3 linked regions of the Elephas maximus indicus genome follow. The protein of the gene in region 3 interacts with the protein of the main gene of each other region in a pairwise test. Links are inferred from orthologs where the notes say so. Each region holds a gene or a part of one and is shown on either strand. Other genes may lie near its edges.

Region 1 (7,985 bases), on a different chromosome or scaffold from region 3:
CCTTCCCCTTGAACTAATGCCCTGAGTTTGACCTTACAGCCTACTAGACTGTGAGAGAATAAATTTCTGTTTGTTAAGGCCATCCACTTGTGGTATTTCTGTTATAGCAGCACTACAGACACTGGCCCCTGGCCCTGCCAGCCTGGAATGGAGGGCACTGGACCTTGACCTGGACCTGCTACCCCCTTCAGGCATGTTGTATTTCGAGTTCCCAGACTACTGCACCCCCAAAGTTGGCAAGATGATTGCAGAGAACTGGCACCCATATAGCATCACTGACCTGGTTTTCACCTACTAAGCCCACAATCAGCAGCATGTGCACACCCCCAAATTAGCTGTTTACATACAAGAATGCTATTTTCCCAAAAGAGAAAATCCTCTTCTGGTTCCTTTCAGTTAGCGAAAACAGGTACTAATGTAGGTCTTTTGTAAAAACGAAGTGGTATAAGGCAAACTTTTGGATGGGAGACGTACCTGTAATTAGATTTAAAATTTTACAGAATCCTGAATATTCAATTAACTCAAACAAACAACCCCTAACAGTAACTAATTCAACACATGCATCAACAATTACTTGTTCATCTAATTTCACCTTAAGGCATTCTGGAACAGCACACTCCATAAACTCCTCTAAAGTTTTTTGTTGCTTATTCGGAACGCTTCTGACACTTTCTTCAATCTTCTTTGTCTTCTTGCTTTGCACTGCATTGTACTCATCCGTATGGTGACGCTTCAGGTGTCTCTCTAAATTCGCTGCATGGTCTCCAACCATATCTGTGTTGCAAATTTTACACGTGCTTTTATTTTCAATCTTTTCATACTTGAAAAATTCTCGACATGGGTTTTCTCTGGTTCGTCCCATACTAGAATTCAAGGGCAAAAAATAATATTAACATTAGAGCATATTTTATAGTCACCATATTACATTTAAAAAGGTCTGGTGGCGCAGTCATTAAAGTGGTCAGCTTCTAAGTGTCTGGTTGGCAGCTCAAATCTACCAGCTGCTGTGTAGGAGAAAGATGTGGCAGTCTGCTTCCGTAAAGATGACAGCCTTGGAAACCCTATGGGGATAGTTCTACTGTCCTATAGACTCGCTATAAGTCTAAACCCATCTGACGGCAAGCAGTTTTGTTTTTATCACGTTACGTTAAAAATGAGTATTAAACTTTGATGACATAAAAAGAATGCATAAATACATTTGTAGAAATGAATCAGAGCCGGTACATATTACAACGGTTCTAGTCACGAGCTGTCAGTATATTAGAAAAAACGCAATAACTTTGTTTTTACATTCACAGGGTTTGCTAACTTCCTACATTTAAAGTCCCACTTTACAACATTCTCGTATGTTTATTCGGCACCTTTTGAAGAAAATCTCACTTAATAGTGACGCCATCAAGTTGTTTTCAGTGAAATAATCCTCTATCAGAACGGAAACGTTTTCTTTCCACTAGTTGCTTATGTTTGTTAACATTTAAATTTGCGAGATAAATACCCAGTTCAAACATATAAGTACAATGTGTGATAGTACATTTAAATCGACATTGGATACAAGAAAGGAACCATTAATAAATCACATGGCATTTTCTATTTCTTGAATTTAAATATCACACTTAAAAAATGTGAATAATGTACGTTTAAAATGTTTACACTCACCTGGCAAATTTCCGTTCACACAAAACTCTGTTCAGAACTCGATGCAATTTAACCAGCTCTTTCAGAATCCTAACGAGTTCTCAATCGTCGAGCGTTTCTCACATCTTCATCAGGTAGGCACAGCTCGCTTTACTGTGAGAAGTCAAGCATGGACCGGAAATTAAGCTCGGAGGAGGTTTGTTCAGCTCAGGCCCAACCTCCGGCCTGTCCGAGGGGCCCTTGACCTCTGCTGTCTGTCCCTTGCGGGCGCCCAAAAAGGGAAAGGAGGGAGGAGGTCTTCACGGAGGCGGGGGCCCAGGTACGGGTATACAGAATGGTGTTCATGGGAGGCAGGAACGGCCTGGACTACGTTCGATGGTGCGGACGCGCACGGCACGTCGGGACAGAAACTGACGCTCAAGGCCGAGCGTAGGGGACGGCCGGGTCCCGAAAGTAGGCCCCGCGCCGCTCCAGGGGGTGGGAAAGGCCACGCTCACCTTTACCGCGGCGCCGGTGCCCCGTAGGTAACTTCCGGGAAATGGCGCCGCGCCAGCTCCGCACGCCATTCTCCACGCGCTTGCGTAGAACGCACCGACTCGCCCCTCCCACGCGTTGCCCTGGCTAATCAGGGGCCTACCCCAAAGGCACCGTCCTCTCCCTTCGGACTACGTTTCCCTTGAGCCTCAGCAAAAAAGCGGAGTCCCAGTCTCGACCAGTGGGAGCTCATTTCCAGAGGCTTCTTATGCCTGAGAGGTGTCCCATTTACGATGGGGCCCGAAGGGTCACAAAGTGCTTGCGGCCCACCCCCTCAGCGGTCGCTTTTCGCTCAAACCCGAACCCCAGGACTTACAAACTGTCAAGTTGGACAGTACTTTGGCATATCGCGCATGTGCACAACGGGTCCGGTTCCTACTGGCAGGCGAGGTGACGGACGAGGAGGCTGACGTCCTGACCAGTCAGAACTGGCGCTTCGCCCGAGCCATTCCCCTAGAGCTCTCCGTGAGGCTTCTTCCTTGCAGCCCAGCGGTCCACTTAGTAACTGCTAGTGCTTTTTCTGCAGCCTCTAGTTGTTTCCACGGCAACGGCTAGAGTCGCCCCGGCCCCTAGAGAGGCCGGAAGTGGCGGTTCCGCCGCTACGTCTAGTTAGACTGAGACGAGCGTGTAAGTGGGCTTGGGAATGGCTAGGCTCGGGTCGTCAGTCCTGATCCGTAGACTTCCTCCGCCCTGACATTTGACCTCCACTGAGCACCCTGCGGACGTGCGGGGTAACAAGGACTCCGGTAGGCGCCAGTTTACTGAAGAGGAAACTGCTTCAACAGTTACATAAGGCCCTCACTGTGTGCCATGATTCTTCAGACCATTTTTAATAAAATTGATATTATAAGATTATAGTAAAAAATCAATATGGGCTTATTGTAGTGACTTTGGAAAACAGAAAAGTTCAAAAGTAATCTCACAACCCACTTTGCCACTCTTCAAACTCGGATGCTTTTCTGTGCTGTTTTTTACCCCTTAAACTAGTATATTCATATCTAATAAACATTTACGTACTAATTTCAGTATTTCCAGTAAACATGACATGATAGGCAGCACAAGCCTGTATATCTTTAGAAGGAAAGCTTAGAGACAAAAGCATTTGGAAAAGAAATTTACTTGCAAAGAGGGGCAACCTGCAGAATGCAGCAGGTATTTAAAGAAACCAAACAAAAATTGCACAATTACCAAAGTGACTGAGATTGCATTAGCCCATTGGTGGCAGGAAAGTAGCACACTTGTCCCATGATTATCATACCTTCAGCTATCCGAAGTAGAGTGCAGGCTTTTGCCTAGACTTAGGGGAGGTGCTCAACGTTTCATTTATTTTGGGGACCAGAACTAGAAGGGTGACCTGTTATTTTTGTCATTAGGTGCCTTTGAGTCAGTTCTGACTCTTAGTGACCCTGTGTACAACAGAACAAAACCCTAGCCAGTCCTGGACATCCTCATGTTCATTGTCATGCTTGAGTGCATTGTTGCAGCTGCTGTGTCAGTCCATCTCATTGAGGGTCTTCCTGTTATTTGCAGACCCTCTACCAAGCATGATCTCCCAGGGACTGTTTCCTCCTGATAACATGTCTGAAGTATGTGAGATGAAGTCTTGTCATCCTCCCTTCTTAGGAACATTTTGGCTGTACTTCTTCCAAGACAGATTTGTTTGTTCTTTTGGAAGTCCCTGGTATATTTAGTATTCCTCACCAACATCACAACTCAAAGGCGTCAATTCTTCTTCGGCCTTATTCATTTTCCAGCTTTCGCATGCATTATGAGGTGATTGAAAACACCATGGCTTGGGTCAGGCAAACCTTTAGTCCTTAAAGTGACATCTTTGCTTTCTAACTCTTTAAAGAGGTCTTTTGGAGCAGATTTACCCAGTGCAATATGTCAGTTGATTTCCTGACTGCTGCTTCCATGGGCATTGATTGTGGATCCAAGTAAAATGAAATTGTTGAAAACTTCAATTTTTTTCCCATTTATCATGATGTTTATTGGTCTAGTTGTGAGGATTTTTGTTTTATGTTGAGGTGTAATCCATACTTAAGGTTGTAGTCTTTGATCTTCAGCAGTAAGTGCTTCAAGTTCTCCTTGCTTTCCGCAAGCAAGGTTGTATCATCTGCGTATCACAGGTTAATGAGTCTTCCTCCAGTTCTGATGCCCCATTCTTCTTCATATAGTCAAACTTCTCATTTTATTTGCTTAGCATACAGACTGAATAAATATGGTGAAAGGATACAACCCTGATGCACACCTTTCCTGACTCTAAACCATGCAGTATTTTTAGTTCATCTCAATAGGCAATGTAACTGTTTAAGTCTGACTGTGGGACAGGGTCAGTTTTGCTTCTCCACATCAAGTGCTGAACTGTGACTTATTTAGCCAACCCTAAATTGTTTCCATTTTGGTGTCCTCTGATAATCCCATGATGAATTCCACTGATTGGAAGCTCTGTGCCTGTGTGTGGGTGGGACTTGTCAACCTTGAGCTTCTCTGTAGCATTATCAGCATACGCCCTTTGGAAGGGAAAGTACCCCAGTGGGAGTATCCTTACGTTTTTTCTCTGAGACTGTGTAGAATCCCCAGAGATGAATCTTCCACTGCACACCACGTAGGGAAAGATCAAGTGTTCTAATTATTGTTTATTTGCTTCTCATGTCTCTCCCAGTCTTCTTTGTCGTAGGTCCCCTGGCTTCTCATTCCATAAGTGCTGGACTTTGGTTCTCAAGCCGCTGGAATTCTGCAGTATAAGCCTGCTTAGACAACCCTCCATTTCCTCCAGTGCCAATGCTGTATTTGGCTTTCTCTAAATTAGTGACAATATCCCCATCTGCTTCTGACTTCAAAATGGTGTTACTATTAGCCCCTTTTCCACCATCCGCACACTTGTGGGTTTATGTTTTAAGCCTTTTCTTTTCTGGTTTTAGTGTTGTTTCTGAGCCAAGACAGACGAAATGTGTCCAGTCTGCTATCTTGACCCAGAAAGCCCAGGGATGATTTCCAGTCTCCTCCTCCCTTCACCCTTGCCCTCATCCTAGCCCCAACATGCCCTTTCCAGCTCTGACAGCAAATTCCCGGTTGCCCTGTCCTTCTGGTGACTTCTGTGCAGTGTTGGGGTTGGAGCAGGTGTGATGCACTCTGGCTAAGCAGCAAATCCTGTCTCCACGTGCACACGAAAGCTTTCCTGCGTCCCTGGCTCGCAGGCACAGGGCTCCTCCCCTGTGTGGATCTGTAGTCCTTTGCCTGGGGTTCCCTTCCCTGCGTTCATGTTAGGTCGGAGTTGCGATCTCAGGCCTCCATGGGCTTTGGGCCTGCGGCTGGGCCTGAGGGGGCAGTGTGATCGGTTTCCTTCCCTTGCGCACCCTCCGATAATATGGATAGTGGCTTGGGTTGAGGGGGCCGTCCAGTGCTTGCCCTGGGCCGCCGCCCAGCTTTCTCGCCGGTGTGGATCCTCTGGTGGTGGAAGAGGGCCGGGCGCTCGCGGAAGGCGCGGCCGCACTGCGAGCACACGAAAGGCTTCTCGCCAGTGTGGATGCGGCGGTGGCTGATGAGCACGGCGCCCTTAGAGAAGGCCTTGCCGCAGTCCCCACAGCGGAAGGGCCGCTCGCCGGTGTGCAGCAGCTGGTGCTGCGTGAGGTTGGAGCTGTGGCTGAAGGCTCGTCCGCACTGAGCACAGGAGAAGGGCTTCTCGCCCGTGTGCACACGCTGGTGCTTGAAGAGTGAGGAGCCCTGACTGAAGGCAGCGCCGCAGAGCGCACAGGCGTATGGCTTCTCACCCGTGTGCGTGCGCTCGTGCTGGATCAGGTGTGAGTTCCGGCAGAAGCGGCGGCCGCACTGCGCGCAGGCGTAGGGCCGGCCGCCCGCGTGAATCTTACGGTGCTGGCTGAGGTTGGAGCCGTGGCTGAAGGCCTTCCCGCATTCGCCACAGCGGAAAGCCTTCTCGGCTGTGTGGATTCGCTGGTGGCGTACCAGCGATGAGCTGTGCCGAAAGGCCTTGCCGCAGGCCGGGCACGCGTAGGGCGTCTCGCCACTGTGGATGCGCTGGTGCTGCGTCAGGTGCGACGTCTGGCTGAAGGCTTTGCCGCACTGGGCGCATTCGTATGGCCGCTCCCCCGTGTGGGTGCGCAGGTGCTTGAGCAAGTCAGAGCTCTTGACGAACACCTTGTTGCAGGCCCTGCATTCGAAGGGCTTATCTCCAGGGAGGAGGCAAGCGCCAGTGTGGAGGGCCTCCCTCAGCTCGTCCCTAGCAGGGGCCACCTGGCCAGTGGGAAGTGCCTGAGGGTTGCTGGTCAGAATTGCCATTTCTTCCTCCCTGAATGTGGGAAGATCCCCCCTAGCGTGAACTGGGACACAAGGGAGGGCACTTCCAGGAGCCTCCCTCATATGTGACTTCTGCTGCTCCTGCACCCTCAGCTGCTTTCCCGGCACTGGGCAGTCTGTGAGGGCCCTTCCCCTGGGCAGGCTGCCCTCTGCAGCCCTCAGGGGTGCAGTCAGCCTCAAGCTGATGCTCTCCTCCCCGCTGCCGGAGCCCGACAGGAGCCTCTCCCAATAGATCATGGACACCCCAGTGGATTTTCTCTCCCCAGATGGAAAGGCACCCTGCTGTCCCTCCAGGATTTTCCCCAGGTCACAGGCACCAGGAGAGGGAAGGACTCTGGGAGGCGTTGTCAGAGGGGGGCTACCCAGGAAGGCCCCAAGCAATGCTGCTTTTCCGTAAACATCCCCATCATCTGCTGGACACCGCGGACCTGAAAGCAGAGAAATGGTGGTTATCTGGGTCATCCCAGCCAGGAGGCGGAGGCCAGGGCAGGTAGAACACACAGGGCAAAGTGGGCACCCTGGGAGGTAGGTGTGTTAACAGGCAGAAAAGCACGGGCCCAGGCCTGACCAGGCTGAGAAAAGCATCTGCTGTGACAAGCATGCCACCCATGGCATCTGGGACCCCCATAGTTAAGACACTAGCCCTGAAGCCCAGAATGCAGGGGCAGGGGCAGAGTTGGCCCTGGCCCCAACCGAGAAGGACACTAGCCATTGAGCAGCTGCTGCAGGCCAGGTCCGGTCACCACTGGAGATGGGTGGTGCACTACCTCATGGTACCCAGACTTTGTGTTTGCTGTTCCCAAAGACAGTGCTACAAGTGTCCTGGTCAAGGCCGTGTCCTCTGTGCCTGGAACATGTGTGGCCACAACAAGTATTCAAGAAATACTGATGAACAAATACATGAGGGAATGAAGCAATGACCCACAGATACAGCAACAAGACTGGGAAGGTTTGAGGCTGTATAGCCCTCTTGGGCTCTTAACAAGCCTCCCCATGGCCTGGGAGTGACCTGTGTCTGAACCCAGCTTTGGTACCCTCAGCTTGACCTTCAAGAGCAGCCAAGGTGGGAGCTCCCAAGAGAGGATAGTGGAGGGAGAGGAAGAGGAAGCTGGGCGGGAAGGCGGAAGAGGAGAGTGTTAGGAAGGGCCTGAAAAGGGAGATGGAGGCTCAGCCAAGTCAAGTGCCAAGCTCACCCACACCCTGAGCCCCCACTCACCAGGGCTAGGCCTCCCCTGGACTTCCCTTGCTGTGACTGGGGCCGTGTCCGTCCCATCGGGAACCCAGGGCTCCTTGCCACGCTCAAGCTGGACAACCACTCGGGGTCGGGAAGCTCCAAGCCCTGTGGGGGAGGACAAGGCGGGAGAGGGGCTGGCCCCTGCTCAGGACAATTCACCTCTCAACAGATAGCAGGAAACTCGTGTCATCTGTGTAACCAGGAAACCCAAGGGTCATATCATGTCTTGCCATGCACCATGGGGTGGGGTTCACAGTAACAGCCT
Region 2 (7,721 bases), on a different chromosome or scaffold from region 3:
CCTTCTTCATCTTCAGGAGCAGGGCCTGAAGCTTCATACATGTTAAGCTTAGATGCTAGAACAGGGATCACTTGACTGTGGTTTACAGTTCAGAAATGTTTTTCTAAATGTCTATCTGAGGCATGAGAATGTGTCAGTAACATGAAAATTACAAGAGCTTCAAAACGCTACACCACATGGTAATATTTTTGTCCCCACAGTAGGTCATGTTCAAAAGCTGAGCCCGTTTGCCTATCTTTATCAGTGAAATTAATCAGAAGTACATCTTCAACCCTGAGGGGGTCCAGCCAAGAGCTAAAGGATGTGAAATATGAGGGAAGAAGGGCTTATTAGACTTTTAAGAGTGCTTGAGCAGTTTACATTTTAGCTAGGAAAGGGAGATAACTTTACTCATGAAGGAGCCAGGTGGCTACCTGCATGACAGATACTATATTCTCAAAGTCATCTATCTCTGTGTATCTCTCACTGAATATTCCACCTCAAATGTAGGTACAGTAGACTATTTCCAAAGATGACTGAAATTATAACGTCTACCCCCAAATATCTTTTGTAATGAGATTTTGCCACTGTTCACATCAAAAGGTGAGTCTATTTCTCCTTCCCTTGAATCTGTGCTGGATTATGACTTATTTCCACCAATAAAATGTGACAAAAATGACATTATAAGAGGAAGTGGCCTTATAACTCTTGGCACACTGCCATGAGACTGCCATACTGTGAGGAAGCCCAAGCTAGTCATGCAGAGTAGTCATGTGGATGAGAGCCAAGGTGCCCCAGTCAATACCCAGGAGAACCTAGTCCCCAGCTGAGCCACCAGCTGAATGCAGGCATAGAAGTAACTCTAGGTGAGACCACAGCAGTGGAACTGCCCAATTAACCCACAGAATCAGGAGAAATAATAATAAGTTTTTATTTATTTTTTATGTTCTTATGCAACAATACATGACTGGAACAGTAGACATGCTTCAAGTTATTTTGTTCTTTCTCCTCACTTTCTCTTTTTGTGATCTCATCAATCACAATTTCAGTACATTGCCATCTCAAGAACACTCAAATCTATGTCTAGCTCCAACTTGTCTTTCACACTCCAGACCCACATCTCGAACTGCCAGCGGGATACCTCCAGCTATAGGCCTCTCCTGCCCCACAATTTCAACATACCCCCAAACTAGAGTCCTTTCAAAGCTGCACTTGCTTTGTATTTCTCCATTTTTATTGATGTCACTACCATCTTCCATGCTCTCAGGCTTGAAACCGGTTCCTATACCCAATCACTCTGAGTCTAGTCAATTCTTTCTCCCAAAATGCCTCTTGTAGCCATTCCTCCTTTTTATTCTCTTATTATTATCATTTACATTCACTATTACAATAATTTTTTGTGTGATATTACTGACTTACCCCACAATCAATTGTTAAATGAAAACCAAACCAGTTGCCATCCAGTCAATTCCAACCCATAGCAACCCATGTATGTCAGAACAGAACTGTGCTCAACAACGTTTTCAACAGCTCATTTTTCAGAAGCAGATCGCCAGGCCTTGCTTCCAGGTGCCTCTGGGTGGACTCAAACCTTAACCCTTCAACCTTTCTACTAGCAGCCCAGCATCTGAGCCACCCATAAACTCCAAAACCAGTTGCCAGGGAGTTTAATTCTGACTCATGGCAACCCTATGGTGTCAGAATAAAACTGCACTCGATTACTATTTTCTAAATCCCAATTCTGACTGTATTCAACAATGCCTCAAGGGGGGAAAAAAAAAAGGTTTCAATTGCTCCTCACTGAACTAACTAAATTCAAACTCTCTAGAACGCAATTTTAGGCATCCCAGGATGTGATCTTTACTGGGTTTTGCTGGTTTGTTTGTCACTCCATAAAAATTTACTGAACACCTCACTGTTTTCCATGCATAAGGCTAACCCTGGAATAAAAACAGAATCCCTACCTTCAAGGAAACCAAAGTCTTCCCAAACTCCTCATGCCACTACTGTGGGGACTACTCAGTTTTCTCCACCTGCCTTGTAGTTTATGGCCAGGACTGCTCTTCTGACAGGGTAAATTCCCAAGGCCCCGAGCAAATGCCACCTCCTCCGTAAAACTTTTCCTAGCCACCTATTCTGCCCTCTAAGCCACAATGGTGGAGATGGGATGTTCCCATGGAAAAGTAAGCCCAGTCCTAACGCACCTCTCATTTCCTCTCGTATTCCTGACATCCCCCTCTTTTCCCGACTGCCAAGGAGGAATAAGCTTACTTGAGGACCGGGGTTTATCTCTGCATGGCCTCTACATGCCCGACACGTACCTGGTATTCAACAAATATCGGTGAACTTCTTGGTGAGCGCACACAGACGTATACGAGATGCCAGCGGCCAAGACACTCTAGGCGGCCCGGAATGTATCTCACTGAGATTGCACCCCAGGATCTAGCGCAGAGTCTGGCACACCATGGACACTCAATAATGCTTGTCTAATTGCTGGTTAACGGACCAGAGGTTCAGCGAAAGTGTACAACAAAGATATGCCCGGCCTCGCGAAAGGCTCCCGCGCTGCCCGCGGCGCCGCTGGGTCCGGAGTCCCCACACACCTGTAGGTGCAGGCCGGCCTCTGGGAGCCAGGGCCGCGGCGCCTCGCAGAGCCGGCGGGTCTCGCCAGCACTTCCAGCAGCCGCGGGCCAGGGGGCCGAGGGCTTTTCCTCGCACCGCCGGGGTGCCCCCGGAGACGCCCCGGGCCCCGGCCCGCCGTCCCGCCTCGCAGGCCCAGCCCCGCGCGGGCGGCGGAGTCGCGGCGTCCAGCGGGTCCCGCGCCGCTCTATGAGCGCAGCCGCTCGTCTCTCTGGTGCGCCTGGCGCGCGGGCAGGAGGCTACCAGGGCAGTCTGGCCCGGTCAGGGTCCGCCTCGCACCCTCTCTCCCACTCCTTCGGGCGCCCGCTGACTCTCCGAAGGTTCCCCGGGGCCCCTTCACACTAGAGTGAGAACGATTCGAAATCCTGACAGAGCAAGGCTTGCAGCTGACGGCCGGGACCTGGGAGGCAGACGCTGGTGGGCGGAAGGGGCCGGGAGAGACGCAACGCACTTCCCGCCTCGCCCAGGCCTCCCTCAGCCCCCAGAACCCAGCCCCCGGGGGTCGGACAAGCAGCTCACCTCGTTTATGTAAATCATTTCAGTTAAAAGCTCTTTATTTTAAACCAACAAGGTGGTAAAGACAAAACCGAGTCTCTGTTTGGGGTCCTCACGGGCTAGTAGTGTGGGACACGAATCAGTAATCAATTAAAATACAGCAAGCAGCAAAAATTAATTTAAAAAAATTTTACGGGTTGTGTATGTACAATAAAAACTCAACTAACATGGAGATAATGAAAAATAAATGTCCCACTCACCAGAGTTAACTATTTTCTGTGTATATCTTTCGAGGACCCTACCTACCACAAAGTAAACAAAGAAAACCAAACCCGTTATCAAGCTGATTCCTACTTACAGAGACCCTATAAAAAAAAAAAAATAGTACTCATAAATATTTGTTTAGTGAATAAGTATATATCCGTGCATTTTAAAATATGGGATCACTGTATAATTTTGCACCTTAGATTTCTCAGTTAAGATAGCTTAGAGATCTTTCCATAGCAACTTATCCTTTATGAGCTAAATAGTATTCTATTGTATGGCTGTACCATAATTTACTTAACTGTGCCTACTGAGGTAAAAAAAAAAAAAAAAGTATACTGAGGTATACTTATGTTATTTTCTTTATAAACAATGCTGGAGAGAACAAAATTGAATATATTCTTTTATATTTCTAGGACACATTCCACACATTGGAACTGGATGGTCAAAGGACATAAAAAAACACTCCCCCAAAGGACATGTGCACATAAAATTTTGGCACACAGTGCTCCTATTTCAACTTTAAGGGCATTGAGGTTTAAAGGATCCCAAAAACCCAAACCGGAGCTGCGGAGTCTGTTGATTTCTGCTCACGGTGACCCTATAGAGTAGAACTGCCCCATAGGGTTCCCAGGAGCAGTGGTGAATTTGAACTGCCCACCTTTTGGTTAGCAGCCCAGCTCTTAACCATTGCGCCAACAAACCAAAAACCAAACCAAACCCACTGCCGTTGAGTGGATTCCTACTCATAGCGACCCTATAGGACAGAGTAGAACTGCACCACAGAGTTTCCAAGGCACACCTGATGGATCTGAACTGCCAGCCCCTTGGTTAGGAGCGGTAGCACTTAACTGCTATGCCACCAGGGTTCCTTAAAAGCAAAAGGAGAAGCGAAATAGAAAAATCAGCAAAGGAGATGAACATGGCTGTTCACAAAATCAGAAACACTGCCCAGACCTGCCCATTCTCACAATTGTTGTTATGCTTGAGCCCATTGTTGCAGCCACTGTGTCAAACCATCTCATCGAGGGTCTTCCTCTTTTGCACTGACCCTCTACTTTGCCAAGCATGATGTCCTTCTCCAGGGACTGATTTGTCTTGATAACATGTCCAAAGTATGTGAGACATAGTCTCGCCATCTTTGCTGCTAAGGAGCACTCTGACTGTATTTCTGCCAGGACAGATTTGTTCCTTCTTTTGGCAGCCGGTGGAGTATTCAGTATTCTTCGCCAACACCACAGATTGAAGGCATCAGTTCTTTTTCAGTCTTCCTCATTCATGGTCCAGCTTTGGCTTGCACATGAGGCGACTGAAAACACCATGGCTTGGATCAGGCATACCTTGGTCTTCAAGGTGACATCTCTGTTTTTCAACACTTTAAAGAATTCTTTTGCAGCACATTTGCCCAATGCAAAGTGTCTTCTGATTTCTTAACTGCTGCTTCCATTGGTATTGATTGTGGATCCAAGTAAAATGAAATCCTTGACAACTTTAATCTTTTCTCCATTTATCATGATGTTGCTTATTGGTCCAGTTGTGAGGGTTTTTGTTTTCTTTATGTTGAGATGTAATCCATACTGAAGGCTGTGCTCTTTAATCTTCATCAGTAAGTGCTTCGAGTCCTCCTCACTTTCAACAAGCAAGGTTGTGTCATCTGCATATTCCAAATATTACAGGTTGTTAATGAGTTTTCCACGAATCCTGATGCCCCGTTTTTCTTCATATAGTCCAGCTTTTTGGATTATTTGCTCAGTATACAGATTGAATAGGTATGGTGAAAAGATACAACCTTGACGCACACCTTTCCTGATTTTAAACCACACAGTATCCCCTTGTTCTATTTAATCAACTGCCTCTTGATCTATGTACAGGTTCCTCATGAGGACAATTAAGTGTTCTGGAAGTCTCATTCTTTGCAATGTTATCCATAATTTTTTATGATCCACACAGTCGAATGCCTTTGCATAGTCAATAAAACACAGATAAACATCTTTCTGGTATTCTCTGCTTTCAGCCAGGATCTATCTGACATCAGCAAGGATATCCCTGGTTTCATGTCATCTTCTGAATCTGGCTTGAATTTCTGACAGTCCCCTGTCGATATACTGCTGCAGCTGCTTTTGAATTATCTTCAGCAAAATTTTACTTGTGTATGATATTAACGATATTGTTCCACAGTCTCCGCATTCGGTTGGATTACCTTTCTTGGGAACAGGCATAATTGTGGATCTCTTCCAGTCGGTTGGCCAAGTAGCTGTCTTCCATTCTTGGCATAAACTAAAACAAACTGAGGTAGAAAAACTAAATAAACCTATTATAAAAGAAGAGGCTGAAGAGGTAATAAAAAAGATTTCCAACAACAAAAAAAAAAAACCTAAGCCTGGATGGCTTCACTGGACAATTCTACCAAACTTCCAGAGAAAACACCAATAACACTAAAGGTATGTCAGAGTATAGAAAAGGAAGGAATACTCCCGAACTCATTCTATGAAAGCAGCATAACCCTGATATCAAAGCCAGGCAAAGACACCACTAAAAAAAGAAAATTACAGACCAATATCCCTCATGAACATAGATGCACAAATCCTCAACAAAATTCTAGGCAATAGAATTCATCAGCATTTCAAAAAAATAATTCAATATGTCCCAGTGGGATTCATATCAGGTATGCAGGGATGGTTCAGTATTAGAAAAACAATGCCATCCATCATGTAAATAAAACAAAAGATAAGAACCACATCATCTTATAATTATTGCAGAAAAGGCCTTTGACAAAGTCCAACACCCATTCCTGACAAAAACTTTCTGCAAAATAGAAGGCAAATTCCTTGACATAATAAAGGGCATTTATACAAAGCCAACAGCCAACATCATTCTAAAGGGAGAGAAACTGAAAGAAATCCCTTTGAGAATGGGAACCAGACAAGGGTGCCGTTTATCACCACTCTTACACAACATTGTACTGGAGGTTGTACTCAGAGCAATAAGGCAAGAAAAAGAAATAAAGGGAATCCAAACTGGTAAGGAAGAAGTAATAGCATCCCTATTCACAGATGATATGATCTTATGTACAGAAAACCCCAAAGAATCCACAAGAAAACTACTGGAACTAATAGAAGATTTCAGCAAAGTATCAGGATACAAGATAAACATACCAAAATCAAAGACAACTTCAAAAAGGAAATCACCAAATCAGTACCATTTACAATAGCTTCAAGAAGATAAAGTAGTTAGGAATAAATAACCAGAGACATAAAAGAAACTACAAAACACTATTGCAAGAAATCAAAAGAGACCTATATAAGTAGCAAAACATACCATGCTCACGGATAGGAAGATGCAACATTATGAAAATGTCAATTCTGCCCAAAGCTATCTACAGATACAACGCAACCTCGATCCAAATCCCAAGGGCATTTTTTTTGACTAGATGGAGAAACAAATCACTAACTTTACATGGAAACGGAAGAGGCCCTGGATAAGTAAAGCATTACTGAAGAAGAACAAAGTGGGAGACCTCACACTCTCTGATTTTAGAATCTATTATACTGCCACAGTAGTGAAAAGAGCCTGGTACTGGTACAAAAACAGACACATAGACCAATGGAACAGAATTGAGAACCCAGATGTAAATCCATCCACCTAGCAGCAGCTGATATTTGACAAAGTCCCAAAGTCCATTAATTGAGGGAAAAACAGTCTCTTTAACAAATGGTGCTGGTACAACTGGATATCCATCTGTAAAAAATGAAAAAGGCCCATACCTCACACCATACACAAAAACTAATTCAAAATGAATCAAAGACCTAAATATAAAATCTAAAACAATAAAGATCATGGAAGAGAAAATAGGGACAATGCAAGGAGCCCTAATACATGGCATAAATAGTATGCAAACCATAACTAACAATGCACAGACACCAGAAGAGAAACTAGATAACTGGGAGCTCCTAAAAGTCAAACACTCATGCTCATTGAAAGACTTCATCAAAAGAGTAAAAAGAGGACCTACATATTGGGAAAAAATTTTGGACTAGAACATATCTGATAAGCGTCTAATCTCTAAAATTTACAAGATACTGTAACACCTCAACAACAAAAAAATAAATAATCCAATTAAAAAATGGGCAAAGGATATGAACAGACACAAAAGAAGACATTCAGGCGGCTAACAGACACATGAAGAAATGTTCACAATCGTTAGCCATTACAGAAATTCAAATCAAAACTATGAGATACCACCTCACCCCAACAAGGCTGACACTAATCTGAAAAACACAAAACAACAAATGTTGCAGATGTTTTAGGGAGACTGGAGTTCTTATGCACTACTGGTGGGAATG
Region 3 (7,353 bases):
TTGAGCTATAATCCCAGAGAGGGCTTTTCAGGTGGAGAGGTCCCAGGCCAGCGGTAGGACTAGCCCTGCTCTGCAAGCGGCTGGGCACGCTCCCTCCCTTCCCTGGGCCTGCCGACCATCGACCCCATAGCTGACCGCCAGAGGCTAAGCACAAACTGTGGACAGGGATGTAAAGGGAGACGACAAAGTTGGGCACCACATTAGGGCCTCTGGGGAAAGAAACTTGCTTTCTCGGGAAACTGACGTCTAGTCTGGACTTAACAGAGGTACGTCCTGGTTGTAGACAGGACTCCACAACCTCGGCTGGGGAACGGTTATCCCCATCAGCACACCTGTTCTCAGCCCCACTCTCTGTCCCATCTCCCAGCCCAGCCAGCTCCCTCTGCTCACCCACTGCCAGGGTCTGCCCGGTTCCTGCTCCATTGTCTCTACTGCGGCCACAGCCTGCTCGCCATTCTCGGGCTCCTGGGCCCGCACCCAGCTCTGGATCTCCCGGGGCAGGATGGCCAGGAACTGCTCCAGCACCAGCAGCTCCAGGATCTGCTCCTTGGTGTGCCTCTCAGGCCGCAGCCAGCCCCGGCAAAGGTCCCAGAGGCGGTGCAGGGCCTCTTGGGGACCTGCCGCCTCCTGGTAGCGGAAGCGACGGAACAGGCGGCGGGAGGACTCTGGACTGGGGAGCTCTCCTTGGGGGCTAGGTTTCTCTCCAGGTGGGCTCCTCATTTTCCTGGGCTCCTCACTTTCCTTCGGAGCCAAGACTCGGGGGCACAGGGCTGTGGGCATGATGGGATTTGATGGGGGTCAGCAGCAGAAGACGACCCTATTTCCAAACAGAAATCGCTGGCTTCAATGTTCTGGTCTCCTGCGTTAGTTTTAGGGGGTATTGATGGGAAAACTGACAAAGCCCACAGAGATCAGCCCTTTGGAGAAGCCCTGGGATTTCCCAGGTGAGGGGTGTCATTGTGACTGGTCCTTACACACAAGGACAGAAAGAACCCATCCCCATCCCCATCTCCCTCTCAGTACCACTGTGTGTGCATTCCCCAGCTAGATGATCGGGGTAACGAGGCAGTGAGTCCAGGAGAAAAGCGATGGCATTTCCATGTGACCCTGGCCTTCCAAGCATCCCAGAGGACCAAAGGGGCTGCATGCAGGAGGGAGATGTTAATTAAGGCTCTCTGGTACCTTCGGTGGCCAGGTCCTCTTGGAGAGGACCCAAGATGGATGCGTCTGAGCAGGCTGCTATCTTGAGGCTTTGGGGCAGAAGTCACCGTCCTTGGGCTGAAGACCTTTACAAACTGAGCTGGAAAAATACAGGCAGACATGCAAGGGAAGAGCCTTTAAAGCACATCAAGGTTCAGGAAATCCACCCTGCTGACAGCTGAGGGCCAGGCACCTGTGCTCAGAGCTGAGTGCACACAAGAGCCAGAACTGGCCGCCCCCAGTAGAGCCTGCAGGGGAAAAGAGGCAGACGAGAATATGCCCAGACAAGAGATCACAAGAGTCACAAGAGAGCTGCAGACTGCACTTACCAGAGAGAAATGCCACTATATCTTAAAGCATCATTGCTTTCGGACCAGCCTGCCACCCAACTCATTTGAGTGTCTGATAGGAAACTTTAGCATGTACTGAAAGGTGCTCTGACCTTCGACTTTACCTCCACCTCCTTCTCTCCCTTGTCCTCTTCAAACCTTGCTCAAGGCAACTGCACTGCCCTCACAGCCCTTCCTTAGGCCGATTAGGGGAGCAAGGTGCTTAGCAGCACAGCACATAACCCAGCTCTCAGCCCTCCATGAACTGTACCCACATCCACATGGCAGGGGATGGGACCCCTACATCTCCCCAAACAAGGTGACAAGAGAGGCTGTTATCTGTGACATATAGTCACTGACCCAGACTACAGGTGCAGGGTGCCAGAGGAACAAGCTATCGGGTTAAAAAAACGGTTCACAGAGCCCTGTGGACAGCCACGCACCGAAGACTGGGATCCCCCAGGGTGGCAGCACAAGGAAAGACACAAGAAAAGTCAAGGACACATGGAGACACACACAGTCCCTCTCTGCCAGCTTGGTCACTCACCCTCCATGCCCTCACCTCTAAGAGGACCCCAGTGAGCAGAGCAACTTAACATCCAGCCTCTCACACAGCCTTCCTTTCCCAGTCTCCTGGTAGGGGGTGTGACGGACCTCACCCTTTCACAGGAAGACAAGTGAAACCAGAAAAATGGCAAAGTCACTGAGAGGCAATCAGAAAAACCAAGTCTCTGGACCCTCTTGCTTTCCAACCTAAAAACAAGTACAAATTGGCAGAAGGGGACTTGGAGGGCCCCTGACTGAACACATTATCAGCTCAGCCCACCGCTGGATTCCCTCCAGAGTCTCTTCCAGAGTCCAATCTGGTCCCCACCTGGTTCTCCCCACCCTCCTGGCCAAAAGTGGCCCCTCTTCCCCACCCTCCCCTTGGCTCCTCAGGTCTGCCCCCACCCTGGGAGAACCCAGTGCCTACCCTCAGCACCCCAGGCCCCGCTGTGTGGCTGCCCATTCGGTGCTCTGTGGACCTTAGTGGCCCCTCTTCCCCACTCTCCCCTTGGCTCCTCAGGTCTGCCCCCACCCTGGGAGAACCCAGTGCCTACCCTCAGCACCCCAGGCCCCGCTGTGTGGCTGCCCATTCGGTGCTCTGTGGACCTTATCTCTAACCAGACAGCTTGTTCCTCTTTGTCACCCTGCACCTGGCGTGTAGGAGACGCAAAGAACTAAGGTTAGCGGGGGAGGGCTCCTGGATTGGGCGTGTTTAAGCCAGCTCTCGGAGGAGGGACAGACCGGCAACAGCAGAAAGGAAAGGGGAGGGCATTTTAGGCCAAGGAAAGGAGAGAGCTTTTCATTCCATTCTCCCTCACGCTCCCTTCTACACACACACACAGTCACTAACCACACGCTCCTCACCTCACAGCCTGGAACTCCTTCCCAGCGTCTAACTCAAATCCCTCCTGCTGCGGCGGAAGTCCCCGGCGGCACCTCCTCATCCTTCCAGCCCGGTCTCCCAGGTGTCCTTCTTCAGGCGGATTCTCTGCAGGGACCAGACTCCTTCCCTGGCCAGCCACAACGCCCTCTCCTGCTCATCCAGAAAGCCACGGCTTCGTTCGGGAGGAAAGGGGTGGGAGGAAATGGAGGCCCCTGAAAAACAAAATTCTACCGCTTTCTGCCCCCGCCCGCAGACCCCCGGACCCTGCGCTCGGGGCTGGGGGCGGCGCTGGCGCAGGCCTGGGCGCGCGGAAAAGAGGCGCGCGGGTGCGGGGACCGGGGGAGCCGGCTGGGACCCGCACGGCAGCACTCACCGCTGCGGCGCGTCCCCGTTCGCGGGCCGCGCAGGCCAGGCCGTCGCCGGAGCCCGCAGGACGCGGAGGAAAGGAAAGGCCAGAGCCCTCCGACTCCCTCCCCTGGGACACTTCCTGCTCCGCTCTAGGACCGGGGAGGTCTTCGCATCTCAGTGGTTGGCTCCCCCGCCCCCCGGCCGAGGTGTGCGCCGGGGGTGACATCCGACACCCCCGGCCCGGGCCCGCGGTCCGCGCGCCCCGCCCCGCCCCGCGCGCGCCTCTGGCCTCCGCGCCCAGGCGGGGGGCTTTGTCCGCCGGGCAGACCGGCGGCTCGGGGCCTACCCGCTCCCCGGAGCCCGGGTGTGCGAGCGCCGGTGGGGGGCGGGAGGCAGGGGGCGTTGAAGGCGCTGCCAGGGACGACGCATGCGAGCCGGTGGCGGAGTTCGGGTGGCCGGGGGCCGCGGTCAGAAGGAGGGCGCGCGCTGGTGCGGTTTGCTGCGGGAAGGTTCTGCTCCGGCTTCTCTCTCCCTTGTTTCCCTCCTTCTGGTTCTCCAGAGGAACGCGGGAGTGTCGACGTCCGGAAGGGCCGATCCGGGAGCAGCGGCTGGATGCGGAATTGGTGGGAGAGCGGAGGAAGAAGGCTTGTTCTCTCCCTCGGGGGACGCATTTCTGAATCCCTCTCTGCACTCCCCGGACGCCGCTCTGCCACCCCATTCTACCCCAAGTCCCGCAGGCCTAACCCCTTTGCCAGTTAAAACACCTCCTAAAAGCCTGGTCTGCCGCAGCCGAGGAGGGGAGCGGGAATGAAGGAACTCAGATCCCCTCCCCCACTCCCCGCATTCTTCCACCATGAAGACAGAGGCCCAAGGTCTCAACCTGTGTCTTCCTTGGGGTGAACACACTGCTGACATTTGACGTTTGATGGGGTTCACAGTTTACGGAAGGAGCAAGAGATGGTTCTTCTGAGCGTCAGAGAAACCTTGTGGAGTGGGCAGAGGAGCCCACAGTGGGTGGTCAGGGTGCCCATTCCTGGCTTAAGCAGTGAAGGTTACAGATGTTTAAACTGAGGAGGAGGGAGCAAGTCATTATGGGATTTTCCCCTGAAGTCTTGTGGCAGTGAGGGACCAGGAAGAATTAGGGCCTCTGGACCCCTGCTGTAGGCTGCCCTCAAGACTGCATCCAACTCATGGCAACTCCATGCACAATGGCATCCGACCTTTGTGATCCGTAGGGTTTTCACTGGCTGATTTTTGGAAGCAGGTCATGAGGCCTTTCTTCCTAGGCTGGAACCTCTGTGGAAAGCCGTTCAGCATCATAGAAGCACACAGCCACCAGTAACAGATGAGTGCAGTTGTTTGCTATCACCCTATGCTGAACATAGCCCAAAGGCTCAGAGGAGTCTTCCTGGGTTCATTCCTAATTTTCCAGATTCCAAAGCTTGGGAGAAAGTGTGTCCTAGGTCTCTGAGCAGATCTGATGCCCAGGAGACCACCCCCCTTTCTCTCCCACCACCTGCCCCACACTGAAGTTGAACTCATGGAAGAGAAAGCAGAGAAAAGTCTCCATCAGCCAGTGGGAGACTGGACTATGGGTAGTCCTGGTTTCCTTCAGAGCCTGTTTCAAGGGTGTGCAGGTCAAATTCAGTTCTCCACAAAGAGGTCACCCTGGCCAAGTGGGTGTGGAGAGGACACAGTTTGGATCGAGGAACCAGATAGCTCCCTTAGCGATGTTCCTCTCATTTCCTTGGTCTGGGTGCCGCCATTTTGGCCTCTAAATCACAGGAATAATCAATCCTGACAAGCAGAGTTACTGAGATCTCCTGTTTGTCTAATGCCCAGGTACTGATGATAGCAGATGTACTAAAACAAAGGAATGAAAGAACAACATTGAACCAAGGACAATCCAAAGGGCAGCCAGAGATAGGAACTACCCCTTCTGGCTTAATTGTACTCAGCTTTTAACCTTTCAGAAGCTTCAGTCAGGTTCATGGCCTAGAGGAGAGGTCTGGATAGGAACCATGGCCCCCCACACAGCTGACTTTGCTGCTTTAGGAAACAGGCCATCTTCTGGCACTCTGGAGGTCCTGACTATAGGATTTGTCCTGGCAGCCTTTGCTGTAGCTCCTAGCCCTGTTACCTGTCAGGAAATGAGTTCTGGAGTGTTTGGGGATCTGACTCTCATAGCTCTGCCCACTGCTGCCCTAAAACAGATAAAAAGCAGACCCAGAGATTGGGTTCACTTTCCACTTCCCAGACCAGACCTTCTGAACTGACACCTCTCTGGCAGTTATTTCTTCTTTTCCAACCCCCATGCCCCCACAGGTTAATCCTTTGTATTTAGAATACGCGCTTTGCTCTTTTCCTTCATTTATCTCAACACAATGTTTAAGAGTCTGGGTTCCGGAAATGGGTCACCAGAATTTAAATTGTGTCTTGCCACTTCCTACCCAGATGATCTCTGGCCTATTTAATCTTAGTGTGCCTCCATTTCCTCGTCCGGAAAATAGGGATGATGCTATCTATCTACCTTGCTGGATGGCTGTGAGGGCTCATTCAGTCATTCAACAAACATGCATAGAACACCTACTAAACACTTGTAGTGCTAGGTCCTGCTCTGGGTGCTTGGGATACATCTGCGAACACAACTGTCTAGCAGGGGAGGTGAAGGGGGCAATAAGCAAATTCAATAATATGGTCTATCATGCTTAATTCATGCTGGGAGTGCTGGAGAGGGGTTGGTGATATTCACAGTGTTAAAGAGTAGAGCAGGCTTCATTGGGAAAGTGCCATTTGAGGTGAGGGAGTTAATCAAGTTCATAGCTGAGACAGCAGTGTCCCAAATGGAAGCCACAGTGACAGCAAAGGCACCCAGGTGAGTGCAGTGGTGAGCGAAATGGGCAGGTGGGCAGTGAACGAGGTGAGAAGGACTTCATAGACCTCAGGGTAGGGGCACTGGAAGCCATGTGGAGGTCTTTCCCCTGCACTAAATGGGGTTAAATCAGATACCACGGGTAAAGCACCAAGACCTGCTCAGTGATTGTTGGTCATCATCACACTCGATGTGCATGTTTTTGTTTAGTTTATATCATGTTGCCGATTTTGTATATTTTTATGAAATGCTTACAGTGAATCAATGATTGTGTCATCCTTGGGAGGACAGAATAAAGGTCCTAGCTTCAAGAGCTGGAAAAGAAATCAGGACATGAACAAACAACTATGTAATAAAATGTCAGTGGGTGATAAGTGTCATGAAAAAAATTAAACAGGGTAAGGAGAGTGCCGGTGGTTGCGGGGCTGCTGTGAGGAGAGAACGTTTGAGCAGAGCTAAGTGGAGGGAAAGCTGTGTGATGTGTGAGGAAGAAGATTCAGCAGAGGGAGCAAAAGGTGTGAAGGCTGTGGACCAGGAGTGTTCAGCACAGCCCAAGAACAGCCAAGATGGCAGGAAGGCTGGGATGGGGTGACGAGGACAGTGGGCTGGGGGAAGACTAGATTTTATACCTAGAGAGTTTCGAGGAAGGGCATGGCCAGGGCTGACTTTCATTTTAAACTGAATGCTGTAGAGAACAGATTGGAGGGACCCCAGCAGAAATAGCTGCCCGTTATGTGCTGCTGTAGAAATTCAGGCAAGAGATGGTAGTGACTCGGAACTGGCCAGTCAAGGTGGAGCAGGTGAGGTGACTGGATTCAGGCTCTATGTTGAAGGCAGAGCAGAGAAGATTACCTGGTGGATTGCTATGGGGTGTTACCAAAACCAAACCAAACCGGTTGCGGTCGATTCTGACTTATAGCAACCCTATAGGACAGAGTAAAACTGCCCCATAGGGTTTCCAAGGAGCACCTGGTGGATTCAAACTGCTGACTTTTGGTTAGCAGCTGTAGCACTTAACCACTATGTTACCAGGGGTTTCCTGTGAGGTGCTAAAGGAATAAAAATGCTGTAGCTGTGGCCTCATTTGGGTGGGGGTGGGGGGGCATCTCCTGAGATGGGAAAGTGGGAAAAAGCAGGGTTGTGGGGAAGTTGGTTTTGGACTTGTTGGTTTGGAG

Evidence for each region.
Region 1: the proteins of ZNF496 (region 3) and ZNF446 interact in binary tests that used the Homo sapiens proteins (3 or more experiments, as listed by UniProt). The two-hybrid records come from large-scale screens. The link is inferred for Elephas maximus indicus from reciprocal best matches to the Homo sapiens genes ZNF496 and ZNF446.
Region 2: the proteins of ZNF496 (region 3) and PGBD1 interact in binary tests that used the Homo sapiens proteins (3 or more experiments, as listed by UniProt). The two-hybrid records come from large-scale screens. The link is inferred for Elephas maximus indicus from reciprocal best matches to the Homo sapiens genes ZNF496 and PGBD1.

The regions. Positions count from the first base shown.
Region 1 is NC_064829.1:87,338,833-87,346,817, forward strand, and holds the start of ZNF446 (zinc finger protein 446), read right to left. Parts: upstream 3,068-7,985; 5' UTR 2,133-3,067; exon of another isoform or gene 1,789-2,132; 5' UTR 1,657-1,788; intron 864-1,656; 5' UTR 863-863; coding exon 593-862; intron 1-592. Other genes in the region: ZNF324 (zinc finger protein 324A), read right to left, coding at 5,455-6,914, 7,703-7,825. UniProt on the Homo sapiens protein: May be involved in transcriptional regulation.
Region 2 is NC_064819.1:79,716,906-79,724,626, reverse strand, and holds the start of PGBD1 (piggyBac transposable element-derived protein 1), read right to left. Parts: upstream 3,035-7,721; 5' UTR 42-3,034; coding exon 1-41.
Region 3 is NC_064820.1:233,708,305-233,715,657, forward strand, and holds the start of ZNF496 (zinc finger protein 496), read right to left. Parts: upstream 3,029-7,353; 5' UTR 2,940-3,028; intron 1,301-2,939; 5' UTR 1,183-1,300; intron 818-1,182; 5' UTR 781-817; coding exon 391-780; intron 6-390; coding exon 1-5. UniProt on the Homo sapiens protein: DNA-binding transcription factor that can both act as an activator and a repressor.